Linked DNA regions of Bombyx mori. The protein of the gene in region 3 purifies or fractionates together with the protein of the main gene of each other region. This does not show direct contact. Links are inferred from orthologs where the notes say so. Each region holds a gene or a part of one and is shown on either strand. Other genes may lie near its edges.

What was found. Proteins that work in one complex are often made in the same cells at the same time.
Region 1: the proteins of small nuclear ribonucleoprotein protein F (region 3) and serine/threonine-protein kinase PRP4 homolog purify together in Homo sapiens (co-immunoprecipitation; 3 studies listed by BioGRID and IntAct, with this or other methods). This does not show direct contact. The link is inferred for Bombyx mori from reciprocal best matches to the Homo sapiens genes SNRPF and PRP4K.
Region 2: the proteins of small nuclear ribonucleoprotein protein F (region 3) and probable ATP-dependent RNA helicase DDX23 purify together in Homo sapiens (co-immunoprecipitation; 3 studies listed by BioGRID and IntAct, counting the BioPlex papers as one, with this or other methods). This does not show direct contact. The link is inferred for Bombyx mori from reciprocal best matches to the Homo sapiens genes SNRPF and DDX23.

What each region holds. Positions count from the first base shown.
Region 1 is NC_085107.1:3,226,565-3,230,565, reverse strand, and holds the start of serine/threonine-protein kinase PRP4 homolog, read left to right. Parts: upstream 1-1,201; 5' UTR 1,202-1,345; exon of another isoform or gene 1,346-1,538; intron 1,539-4,001. UniProt on the Homo sapiens protein: Serine/threonine kinase involved in spliceosomal assembly as well as mitosis and signaling regulation. Connects chromatin mediated regulation of transcription and pre-mRNA splicing.
Region 2 is NC_085121.1:15,456,180-15,460,215, reverse strand, and holds the start of probable ATP-dependent RNA helicase DDX23, read right to left. Parts: upstream 2,801-4,036; 5' UTR 2,617-2,800; coding exon 178-2,616; 3' UTR 1-177. UniProt on the Homo sapiens protein: Involved in pre-mRNA splicing and its phosphorylated form (by SRPK2) is required for spliceosomal B complex formation.
Region 3 is NC_085117.1:15,790,783-15,796,392, forward strand, and holds small nuclear ribonucleoprotein protein F, read left to right. Parts: upstream 1-1,342; 5' UTR 1,343-1,420; intron 1,421-1,502; 5' UTR 1,503-1,513; coding exon 1,514-1,688; intron 1,689-2,346; coding exon 2,347-2,438; 3' UTR 2,439-2,735; downstream 2,736-5,610. Other genes in the region: trimethylguanosine synthase, read right to left, coding at 4,941-5,036. UniProt on the Homo sapiens protein: Plays a role in pre-mRNA splicing as a core component of the spliceosomal U1, U2, U4 and U5 small nuclear ribonucleoproteins (snRNPs), the building blocks of the spliceosome.

The sequences.
Region 1 (4,001 bases), on a different chromosome or scaffold from region 3:
ACTCTGGCTCTTTGCGCATGTCAAAGCTATCAATCAATAGATTTATTATAGCATACTGTAATGCGCACTGCAAGCCCCGGGAATCTGTCTGGAACTTATATATATATTAATATCACCTATCTTACTATATGCCCTAACACACTACATACTTGAGAATAATCTATCTAGATTCAAAGATTGTACCTACTTTACTTTACTGTATTGTCTATTAGGCCTAAAATGTACGGAACAAACACAAGATTTAGTTTTAAACGAAGAATTCTACATTTAATCTCATATTATAGAAACCGTCTGATACTTTAAACAAGCTTCAATACCTCAAAGCACAAGAGGTCTGCAAGTTTTTCCACAGTCAAAGTGATCATTGCATACTAATCATCCACGCAATTATTCGACTCTCGACATAATACTGAAGGCTAACAAAATCGATCGCTTTGATTAGTTTTGTTTCCTTTATAAAAATTTAGACACAAAGTCAAAGTCTCTCTATTGTATAACGGTGGTCTTATCCTTTAAATCAGAAAATAGGAGTGCATAGTTGTAGAAATTGGTGGTTTAATTGGGTCAATTTGTCTCATTTACATTCACAGTTATAAATTTATTTTTTCCTAAGCTAGGGAGAAATCTCCTAAGTTGGCATCATTGCTTAAATGGCTTGCTTCTTTTTTCTAAGTACCTATAGCATTTGGTGACTTTATATAGTCTATAATTATGAATATTTACATAACAGAATGTAATGAAGCTATAATATAAAACTTATAAATTGGGACGAAATTGAAGAAAATCAAATAAAATGAAACGAGATGAGATGTGATGAAATGTCCCAGTTCAAATGATGGGAACTTAGTGAGACTTCAGTAGATTTTTTGAAAGAGACTGACAAGCCACGTCTAATAGCTTTATTTAATCTTTCCGTACTAGTTCACTTTCCCAATGACAAACGGCTTAAGAAGAAACACAGTAAAACAATTCATACCACTTTACTTCTCGCGTTACTTCTAAAAAGTCTATCTATTCTTCATTCCATTAAACTAGCGTATTTTTTACTAGCGTATTATTTAAATAAACACACATAAAATATAGGTATGTATATAATCATTATAAGTAAAAAAGGTTTCTATTCTTTTTTTTAAATTTAGGAAGATCAATCGACCATAGAGTACATGATTTCTGGTAACTTATAGGATAAGCCTTGATTTGGTTTTATGGAATAAATTTCATTGCCAGTTGGAACTCTGTAAAAACAAAATAAATCGTGACGGTTTGATACTTTGATAGATAGAGTGTCACGTTTATTATTTTATAGTTTTGTTCTACTTAAATAGTAGTAACCTACTCATTAAAGGTGAAGTTTAGTTACAATAATTTAAAGCTAAATAGAAATACATTTTCTCTAAGTTACTGTACAGTTCACACATTTTTATTATTGAATTTATTCAAAGTTTATCGAACTATTTGTCTGTGAAACAATGCCCACAAATGTTTGGATTTTTTCGTAATTTAGTTTGTTTTTTGGAAAGATTGCAACGGGAATAGCGGTATGTTTAGAAAAATCAAGTTTATTCCCATTCTTAGCGAATTGTCTCTCAAAACGCTATTGTTATCTTCTGGATAATAATATCATTAACAAAAAAAAAAAAAAGAATAGGAACGCTTCGAACGAAATGTTTTAAAAGTTTGCGAATCTCAGTGAACTTAAAGCGCACAGCGAAAGCATTTTCACCACTGATTATATGAATTCCGTTTTCAAAAACATCAGTGAACTCTTTATAGAGTTTCGTGATTTATATTATCAAAAGTACTTTTTTTCACAAAGTGTAGTTTAATCAGTCATTAAGCATATAATTAGAAAATGGGTTACAAATAAGGACATCCATATATTTGAAGTGACATCAAGAAGCAATTTTTTTTTAGCAAAATTTGTATTTCCAAGTTACAAAATTTTAAGGTTAATAATTCTGAAGACAGCAGTTTCAATGAAAATTTCTCGTCAGTGATACATTATTTAAAAATCGTTTTATTTATTTTGCAAAATTGATGTCATTTTATGTGCTTATTGAGCAATAATCATAAAACTAAATAATATAATATAATTAATTATAAAACTGTTATTGGCCCCAATAAAATCTACAGTCCAGAGAAGGACCAGTTGTCATGAGATTACATTTACTAACCGGAGAAGCGCTTAGAACCATATACTTGGAAAAATTAAACGTGGAGCTTGCTCTATTTACTGATTGTAAAATCAAAGGAGATACAATTTATTGTGAAAGTCTTTTAAACTGTTGAAAGTTTGTGTTCAGTTTATTATAGTCAAGGGCGGATCCAGCTTTGGCGCCAGGAGGGGGTCACATAGTCAAATTTAGATGCGTTCGTTCCCAAGCGTTTGCCATTATACAAAGTTATTATATTTAATTAATTAAATATTGAAGGTATGTAGTTACATAAAATCTGTATGGTGACAAAATATATAAATAAAATCATTATATTCAATTAGTTGTCCACCTAAGTCCTGGAACCAGCTCACGAGGTGGTCATGACCCCCATGACCCCCCCCCTGGATCCGCCATTGATTATAGTGTTGATTAATACTTGGGCCATCCTTGGTAGTAAGCAGATTGCTTTTTATTTGTAATACACTTTAATCAGCTTGACCAGTACTTTGTTATCTAAATTATTATCCTTACTTTTTATAGGAATAAAAGTCCAAGCGATACGGTTGTCACCAGAGTTTAATGCATGTTTTAATTTTCAAGTTAGTGAAAATTTAAATGAAAAATTCCATTACATACAAATGTACTGAGTAGGATAAAAAGTGAAAATAACAACTTTTTAAATTCACTTCCTATAAAAAAAAAATTCTAAAAATAATTTATTAATTATTTAAGTATTGCTATAAACTTTTTATATCAAAAATACAAAAGTTTATTACTACCTATTATAAACGTATGATAAAATGTATAATTACATACATACATTCAAACATTTGAGGAAAGTTACCTGCTACTATTTAACACAAGGGAGGCTCTGAGCCCAAACTTATATAATAGATAACTGATAGAAACTTATATATTATTTATACAAGTTTCTATCATTAATATATAATTTATTATGCACATATATATTATATTATCTCTTTATTATGCCCTTAGTTGTGTGGACTATATGTAGATGAGATAGTGTGCTAGGTATTAGAGTACTCCCAGCAGAGCCTTACCTTATTTTTTATGTAGTCATCCAGTTCCGGATGGGTATTTTCATCAAATATGCAAACATGCAAGCTGTTTAGGATATTTTTACAATTGTGGCTTGTGGGGCCAATAGCATTTTTATCATTTCTTGACCATTGGCAGCTCAAAGATTTCATAGATCTCCTATGTTTTGATGAACCATCAAATATATTTCTTTGTCCCAAAATATATATTTTTTTATATTAAGTACTTAAATGGGTGGACGAGCTCACAGCCCACCTGGTGTTAATTGGTTACTGGAGCCCATTAATATCTACAACGTAAATGCTGACACTCACCTTGAGATATGAGTTCTAAGGTCTCAGTATGTTATAACGGCTGCCCCACCCTTCAAACTGAAACGGATTACTGCTTCACTGCAGAAATAGGCGGGGTAGTAGTATCTACCTGTGTGGACTCACAAGAGGTCCGACCACCAGTAATTATACTTTTATACCCTTAGATATTATACATTATATATAGGGTGTGCCCCATACTTCAATACAATATGTCCAAATAGGCTTATGAATTATACTGTATATTTGTTGATTGCTAGTTTTCAGTTTCTACTGAGTAACCAGACCTTTGTACTTCAGGTTATTTAGAACTCTTTTGTTTGCACATGTTTTTTCCATGTAATTCTGTGTTCTAAGTGCATTTGTATGTACTAACAACTACTTAATCATATGTTGATGAGGAAGTTGAGTACCATTTAAATTTGTTGACTGGCAGTCCTTTTTGCAAAGGCTAAGTTTGGTGAAGGCTACTTGC
Region 2 (4,036 bases), on a different chromosome or scaffold from region 3:
TTATTGTTTTTATTTCTCGAAATATATACGAATTTTAGTTAAAATTACATTCTTTTGATTCTAAAAGTGGATGTTTAAAATGTGTTAGAACTAAAGTAACTATAGACTTTATAACTTGCTGGTGACCATGATGGTAATTTACCTATTGCTTATTATTTTAGACTATAACTAGGATTGTCAAGCGAATATCATCTCTTCACGTCTCTTCTTTGTTACGACTGTCCCTGGCTTATGTTGAGCCTCAGGGTGGTTCATAAGTTCCGGTGGACACGTAGATACGGAACTTGCCAACAAAACCTGCTTCAGATCATAGAACAATGCGGAGTCTTCTTTTGTAACAAAGGACATAGCTTTACCAGTTTTTCCTGCACGACCGGTACGGCCGATACGATGAGTGTAGTCTTCAATAGTCTTCGCCATATCGTAATTAATGACCATACTGACATCTTTAATGTCAATACCACGACCTGCCACGTCTGTCGCCACGAGGATATCTTTAGCGCCCCCTTTGAGACTGGCAAGTGCAAAGTCACGTTGTTCTTGGCCTTTACCACCATGCAGCGTACAGGCATTGAAACCAAGTTTTTCAAGTCCCTTTGCAAGAACATCTGCACCTTTTTTCTGGTTAACAAAAATAATAATGGGTGGTTCGACACCACGCTGCAAAATCTCTGTAAGTTTTCTACGTTTTTCATTCTCGCCTATCATGTAGACTATTTGTTCAGTTCTGTCTACTGGTTTTCCTACAGATCCAATATATACAATAGCCGGTCTTCTGAGATAACTTCTAGCCAGCCGCTCTACAGCCGGAGGCATTGTTGCCGTAAACATCACAGTTTGTCGGTATTTCTTTTTTGTGTTATAATTGGCAAGCAATACTGAAGCATCTTCAGCTGCATCACTATCAGGTTTTATGTTCGATACAGGCATGTATTCCAGGATTTTTTGAACATCCGGTTCAAAACCCATATCAATCATCCGATCAGCTTCATCAAGAACAACATAGGTACAACGGTTTAGTACTAAATATCTGTTGTCTAAGACATCAATAAGACGACCGGGAGTGGCAATGACAATCTCACAGCCTAACCTCAGCTTAAAACCTTGTTCTTCACGAGATAAACCTCCAACAACCACTACTGATGTGATACCAAGAGGAATACCAAATTTATTAGTTTCTTCTTCGATTTGTTGAGCCAATTCACGTGTTGGAGCTAAAATTATAGCATAAGGTCCTTGGTCAGCATCTTCCATACGTTCACTCTTTGGCAGAGATTGAATCCATGTAAGTAATGGTATAAGGAATGCCAATGTTTTACCGGAACCAGTTTCAGCAACACCAATAATGTCACGGTTCTGTAATCCAATTGGAATAGCCTGCCTTTGAATAGGAGTTGGGCTCTTATATCCAACTTTGTTGATTATGTCCATAATGTCAGTATGCAAGGGAGCTTCCTTCCAAGAACGTATAGGGTTAGGAATTTTACCTCCTTTTAAGGTAATATTGTAGTCTTCCCTGAATATCCTCCAATCACGCTCTGTCATCTCATCCACATCTTTCTCAGACCAGTGTCTATCATCCCACTTTTGCTTGTCTTCCTTCTTCTTCACTTTCTTCAAGCGTAGTTTTTCTTGTTCTTTCTCTAACTCAGTTCTGCGCTTTTCTAAAAGATTCCCATAGAATTTGCTATGGTCTTTCTTTTGAGACTTGATATCTATACCAGCAATGTGTCCACGACCAAAGAATTGTACTTGATGTCTTTCTTTGTACAAAACATTATAATCATTTGATGTATCTTCTGACGCATCCCAGTCAAAAACAAATTTCCTGTCATTCAGCCGTCTTACTCTACGCTTTTTCTTTACTATACCTAAGTAACGAGCTTTAATAGCCTCTTCTTCTCTTTCTTTATCTTTTGTTTTAGATGTCTCTTCATTATCTTTTTTTGGTTCTCGACGATCTGAATAGGCTTTCCTCTCTTCATATTTCCTTTCCCGTTCCTCTCGACGTTCCTTTTCTCTATCTTTTTCACGTTCTTCTCTGTGCCTTTTATCTTCTTCCCGTCTTGACGGACCTGTTAAATCAATAGTGACTTGAGGCTTATCAGTATTAGCTCTTATAGCTTCTACTTCTTGACGCCGTTTCTCCAAAGCTATCTGTGCTCGTTGCTCTTTGGTAAGAAATACTGGCTTACTGCGGGCTTCTTCCTCAGCCTTTTTCTTAGCAAGTAGTTCTTCTAAGGACAAAGGCTCTTTTTTAATTGGTTTTTTATCTATGGATTCATCCTCTTTCTTCATGTCTGCAGTGTCTTCCTCCATTTCATCTTCTTTTTTTGATCTACTCTTTTCCTTGTCTTCGTAACGTCGATCTTTGTCTTTGCCGTCACGTTTCTTAGGGCTGCGCGAACGACCGCGTTCTTTACGTAGTGGACTCCTAGAACGATCGCGATCTTTTCTAGAAGGGCTTCGAGCTTTATCCGCATCTTTTTTAGGGCTTTTAGACCTGTCCCTGCGCTTTACTTTTTCACGATACGATTCGCGTTCATCGTAACGATCCCGATCTCTTCTATCTCGTGATCTTGACCTCCGCCGTTCAGGACTTCTGTCTCGGGCCATTTTTGGTTTATGGAACCACCGGTTTTTATTTTGTTAATTTCTTTATAGGTATTATACAGCAAATACAATAAAATTAAATTCGGTGTATTTTTCATGTACAAAATGTAGCAGTATGTGAACAACTTCAATGTCACATTTTTGTCAATTTTGACATTAACATAATTTATGAACTGTCAAATGGCCCTAAAAACCACTGAAGTAAAAAACCCATAGACCTATATAATAGAGACGCGACATATTGTTTTCCTCTATACGCACAATTGCTTAAATAAGTAGCACCCATTTTGATGGCACACACCTAAACATATTATATCTATCTCGTTCTTACTCAGCACTGTAACTCGCAGTAAAACAATATAACAGTATTTCAGTGCGTACATAGAATGAAATATGAATATACGTAAAAATCTAATGAGGCCGAAAATCCGACATGCTTAGCGCACCAAATGTCACTGTAAGTCAGCTCAGCCGTCTGTCTTGGGTTGTACATTATTTATTAACTTTGATATCGATTTAATATGATTGCTTATATAAAATTTCTTATTTTATCATGCTACCCCGCTTAAAACATACAAAAATAATAATTAAAAAATATTTTATAGGATCCCAAGAAAGTCGATGCCCCAAAAGTATTATCTATATATATTTAAATTCATTATGGAGCACTACTCCGAAAACTCTGACACCATTTTTCGGTCGGAATCTATTGTTCATGACACAAATCATAAATACCTCTTAATAAAATGTGTCATCAAAACATATTTAGACATTCTGTTTAGATATTTCGGGAAAAAGGTTACTGACAAAATCTCTCTTCGGAACTATTTAAGTAAAATTGTTTTATTCCGTAGCGAGTAAACAACTATTGTAAATTCGGTAAATTTGTAATAAATAAGTGTTTTTAGAGAGGAAGTCACAAGGAGGGTCGTTTTAAATTTGAATCACTCTCAAGTGAGAGTGATTCAAATGGTGCAGCGCACCTACCTTGAGGTATGTTGCGGTACTGTGTTACGGACTTTAGAGTCAGCAACACAATTAAAATAGGTTGTAATTGAGAGGTAACAGGTTACACAAAACAGCATAGCTAGCATGCTAACGTTTTATCGCCGACATAAAGCTTTTATACCTTTCCGGCATATACGCAAGTGCGAGCGAGATGGCAACATACGAAACGATGATAACATTTAGCATGCTAGAAATTGGCAGATGGCACTGTACTACGCCATATGTTTATGATTTGCCGTCACTGAGTTGTCAAACGACAAGTTTATAAAATCAGTGTAGCAACTTTTAAAAATCGTCATATTGTTTACTTGGCAAATTGAAGCACGAAATTGTCTTAGATTTCACACATCTAAATCACGTCATCTTTGCAAATAACAATATATATATAATACATACTTCCTATTAAAGTGTAAAT
Region 3 (5,610 bases):
ATATAAGGTGCATTAATGTAAAAAATTGCAAAACTCATAGATAGATCGTAAACGTAAAAATCTATATTTTCATTGATTCAACACTGATTCACATCAAATTTTTACTATTCTGCAACACTACTTTGACATTGACTATTTGACGTTATTGGAACTTTTTTAATCACGTTAGATTGAATTCTGGTCTTTTAAGCCAAAAACCCATTGAAATAGTGTTTCGCCCATTTAATTATTCGAATCCATTTAACATTTATTTTAACAATATGTACATTTTGTCTTTAAAATGGTTTGGTGTTATAGCTCTACTCTCAGCATAAGCACTTCAACACACAATGTTGAAGTTCTCGTTTTCTATTCCCAAAATAGTTTTATAAAAAAACCGACTCTACTTTCAATTATTTGATGGTTTTTAGTTAGGCCAAAGATCGTTCATACCATCTTTAATTAAACAAACTTATCTAAATGTTTTTATTGCTAATATATAGTTTTATGGAAGCTTTTCACATATTTTTTCTTCTCTTCACATTTTATCAATAGCGAATTCCTCCAAATACGTTGAGAACTTTCAGCTTAGGTGTGTCGTTTTAGTCGCTACAAGCCCTTCTCTATTAGTTAAACATATTTGAAAGTGTAAAAGATTGTGGAAATATAACAAAATCACTGGACCTGACTTCTCAGGACTTTATGTTTATATAAATTAAAGAAAATAATTACCATTTTCTGTAGTTTTTTTTTCAACTGGGCTTCAATAATAATAAGATGAAATACATACTATTATTAATTTTTTACTACATTTTTTTAAAGGGATTTTATGACCTGGACTAACTAAAACTTTTAGGTCAAGTCTTATTTTAATTTTATGTTACGTAACTTTTTTATATGAAAATTATAGAAATGAAATGAAGTTGAATAATATGAAACATGGCATGAAGTGAAATGAAAACGAAATGAAATGAAATGAGATGAGATGATATGGGATGAAGTATAATCTCAGTAAAATGGTGATCATTTACTGAGACTTTTTCAGTGGACTTTTTGGAAGATCTCGAGAACTTACGTTCAGTGGCTTTGTTTCGTTTTCCCACATTTGTGCACTTTCACAGTTACAGTTAAGCAGTTAATAAGCCACCGTTATTACACATTTAAACCTGAAGAAAGACTAATTAGACAAAATAAAACAAACCACTCCTCGCGTTCCCGCCGAAAAGTCCTAGAAAGAACTAATTATAATAAATTTTAAACTACCTGTGTTTTATCTATGGTGGTGTATTATCTATGAGTAGCTGATGGCCGTGTTGCAAATTCAATGCTTTCATAAATAAAAAATAAAAAAATATCTATGAGTAGAAATTAGCGTCGAACTCGAAGCGAAGCCGATACATTTTGAGGTTATATTTTGTATTTCTTGTTAGCCGATATTAAAGTAAGTACTGATGTTTCTTAAATAAGCAATGAAAACAATAAAGGTGGTTTGAAAATGAATTAACATCCAATTTACTTTTTAGAACCTGCAAAAATGGCGGCTGCTATGCCAATAAATCCCAAACCATTTCTTAATAGTCTAACGGGTAAATCCGTGCTAGTTAAATTAAAATGGGGTCATGAATACAAAGGTTTGTTAGTATCAACAGATGGCTACATGAATTTGCAACTTGCTAATACTGAAGAACTTGTCGATGGAACTTGTACAGGTTAGTATTTAAGTGAACAACTTTAAGTAATCACGAAAACATATTAAAGCAAGAGATTAAGATCTACTGGTAGTGGACCTGGACCAAAATTGAATTAAAAATGAGACGTTCATTGTTTGTTTGGTCTATTATGAGTACACTATTCTGCACCCATTTCGACTTCAAAGCTTTCAAGCATTCTGCTTTGAAGAGTAGATTTAATATTCATATTGTAATAAACTTATAAATTCTAGAAGCCACTTAACACTAAATGTCATGGGGTTCATTTGCCCTTTTAAAGAAAAAAAAAGTACTTGCTACAAAGAATGCACAAAATCAATAAATTTCATAACAAGAGACAACTTGACACTTACAAGATTCCAAACCAAACTTTTTGGTTGTGAATAGTTTTGTGAATTTAATTAATTTAAATTAGTAAATAAAATTTAGAAATCAAATCTTAACATTTAAATATTTTTTTTTATATTTTTTTTTAAGAATCTTTTTTATTGTAATTCAGTCCATGCTACATCAAACTTAATGAAGTCATATCAGCAGAGTTCTGTAAAGCTTTAACGGCGTTTGTTTTGAATACTAGTTCAGTTAGTTCTGTTAGTCCATACATACAAAACACTAAATTAAGAACCCTATTAATTTAAGTATTGGGTTTTATTTCCAGGTAATTTAGGTGAAGTTTTAATAAGATGCAATAATGTCTTGTATGTAAGAGGAGCTGATGAAGAAGATGAAGAAGGAGAAATGAAAGAATAATTAGTAATTATTACATAAGTTAGAATAAGGAATTATCTTAAGAATAACAGGCAAAAGGGAAATTTTAAGCAAAAAAATAGAAATTTCATATTACTCTGTTAGCAGTAAAATTACCTTAGGTATATATCCCGAAATACTAATGATTGAGGAGAAAAATGTTAATTGGAACTATTGTTGTATACAATGTTTAAATGAAACAACTTTAATACTTTTTTTTTTTTAATAACTATGTCTGAAACAACCTCTTCAGCATGAATTCCATAACTTGTATAATTAATTATAAGTAAATTTTCACCATAACCTTGTTTTATTTTCTCAACACTAACTTTACAAGAAAAGGTTTGCGATTTATATTGTCCTTGCAAAAAATGAGCATGTGAAAACAGGGAAATATATTGAAATCTAATGATCTTCAATGTATTTTACCCCATTCCTTCTTGCTCTTTTTTGGCCTTTGGGTATTAGATTCCAAATTCGTTTAAAAACACAACCTCATTCGCAAAAACAATTTTCATTTAAAAAAACTTTGGTTCTCATTCTGGTTATGATTTGAAACTAAAAAGTAAATAATACAACCTTATTTTAATATAGTTAAAGCTCTAGAAGTGACTAAAAAGAGATGCATATTATTTTATAGTATCTAGTCTGTGAGAGAACGAGATAGAAAACTCCTACAGGTTACACTTCTACATTTTGCGAATTGCTGCACACTTTGTATTGCTCTGGATGAAGAAAAAAGCTGACTGCCTACTTGGTATTAAGTAGTTGCCATAGCCCACTACATAAATCATCACTCATCTTAAGCCTTGATGCATGAGGTACAGAATGCAGGATAGTGATATTATCTCATTTATGCTTATCCTGCATTCCACTTAGAATTACGAACTTATAAACATTGCCCATTCGAATTTGAACGCCTACAGGATAAGCTATTGATTGTGGAAGTCGGTGAACAAGCATTAGAACATATTTAGAGCAGACCTAAAGACAGGTCACAAACTAATGTCCTACATTAGTCTATCGTGCACGGATGACTGAAATTCTTATAGTCCATTTCGCGAGACAATAGTACTCTTAATGTCAGGGCAATACCAAAAAAAAAATTTTGGTTAACTGTAAAGTCGGTTTACGGACGATAGTTTTACACGTTAAAGTCAGTAGGAGAACTATTCGAACTGCTAGTTCTGACGTCACGCGACATAAATGTGTCACAAGCCAACACTTGGGTCGACTCTGGTCACCGTCCTCGTCGAACCCGTCGCTTGCGACGAAGGGCTCGACGAGCGAATTAACCCATAGACACAGCCCACTGAGTTTCTCGCCGGATCTTCTCAGTGGGTCGCGTTTCCGATCCGGTGGTAGATTCTGCGAAGCACTGCTCTTGCTAGGGTCAGTGTTAGCAACTCTCCGGTTGAGCCCCGTGAGCTCACCTACAAACCTTAGGGTGAAGCTGAAATAGCCTCTCATGGCTATCAGCATAGGTAGGGAAAAAAAAGGGCCGATCGTGCCTCTATCGCATGTTCCGTGCTCTCGCTTGCACGCTCAGGCGGAACGTGACATTTTTTCGTGCGTGTAGCCAATACTTATCGATTAATCACGTCAAAATGCTATCCCTCTGTCTTGTATAAGTATTTGTTAAAATGTGAGTGGGTAACATAATAAAACCACTGTAATGAATAAAATGGTTTTATCAGATTTTTCAAAAAATCCGCCTAAGACTCGGCACAAGATGATACGATTTCGCTGAAGACAGATACGATTTGAAATCTTCACGACTTTTGAGAGGATAAAAACAGCGTCGAAGACACCTTCTTCGACAGTAAAGCGAGAATGCATCAGCCCACTGAGTTTCTCGCCGACACTTCTCAGCGGATCGCTATCACAATGTCGTTATCGATTCATTAGCGAAACAGCTGCTCTTGATGTGTTAGGTTTGCTATGAAGAAGTTCAGGCAGTTGTTAATACATTCTAGATTTATGAGAAACACCCATTTATTAAAAGAAATCGAGCGCCACCTCTCGTTATTTTGTGGTACTATGAACCTTCCCTGAAATACCAACAACCACTGTTTACATCTTTCAACTGTTGTGTATAACTTTTATATAGTATCTTGTAATGTGAAAATACTACTTACTGAACATTCAATCAATTTACATTTCCGGAAAGGGATTAGGTAAATCCAAAATAATAATCACAAATCGAAGGTTTGAAATAAGTAAATTTATTGTACATAAAGGACATAAAAAAAAACATAATCATTTAAAATCTGTAGCAAACACGATCAAATTATGATTTCAATATTTATCAAAATATTCTTTATAAACGGATAAATTCACCTCAACTTAAAACTAACAAAAAAACGCCGTCCACGTGAACATTATTTTTAAAACTGACGTTTTGTGTCAGAACAATCGGTAATACACAGAGTAACATAACATTCTCACTTTGAGCATCGACTAATCTAAATATTGCTTACAATTTCGTAATGTAATTATTGAATTTCAATAGTAATACGCTGTTATCGCAACAAATCTTCTGTCGAGGTAATTCTGTTCCACTTCCAATGAGCCGCTCATGTTTCTTGCTAACGAGATTATCTGAGAACAAAATAAAAACCTTAAATGTTTTAGGTATATTCAGTAACGCGCGAACAGTTTATTTACGACTTAATCATTTTGATAACGACATTAATGCGTTTAAGTTTATTGTACGCAAATAATGATAATTTTAAACAATGACGAACTAACGTAGGAGAAAAAATATCCGAATTTGATTTTTAGTTTATTTTTTTACTGCTTAGATGGGTGGACGAGCTCACAGCCCACCTGGTGTTAAGTGGTTACTGGAGCCCATAGACATCTACAACGTAAATGCGCCACCCACCTTGAGATATAAGTTCTAAGGGCTCAGTATAGTTACAACGGCTGCCCCACCCTTCAAACCGAAACGCATTACTGCTTCACGACAGAAATAGGCAGAGTGGTGATACCTACTCGTGCGGACTCACAAGACGTCCTATCACCAGTAATTATGCAAATTATAATTTTGCGGGTTTGATTTTTATTACACGATGTCATTCCTTCACCGTGGAAGTTAATCGTGAACATTTGTTAAGTACGTATTTCATTAGAAAAATTGGTACCCGCCTGCGGGATTCGAACACCGGTGCTT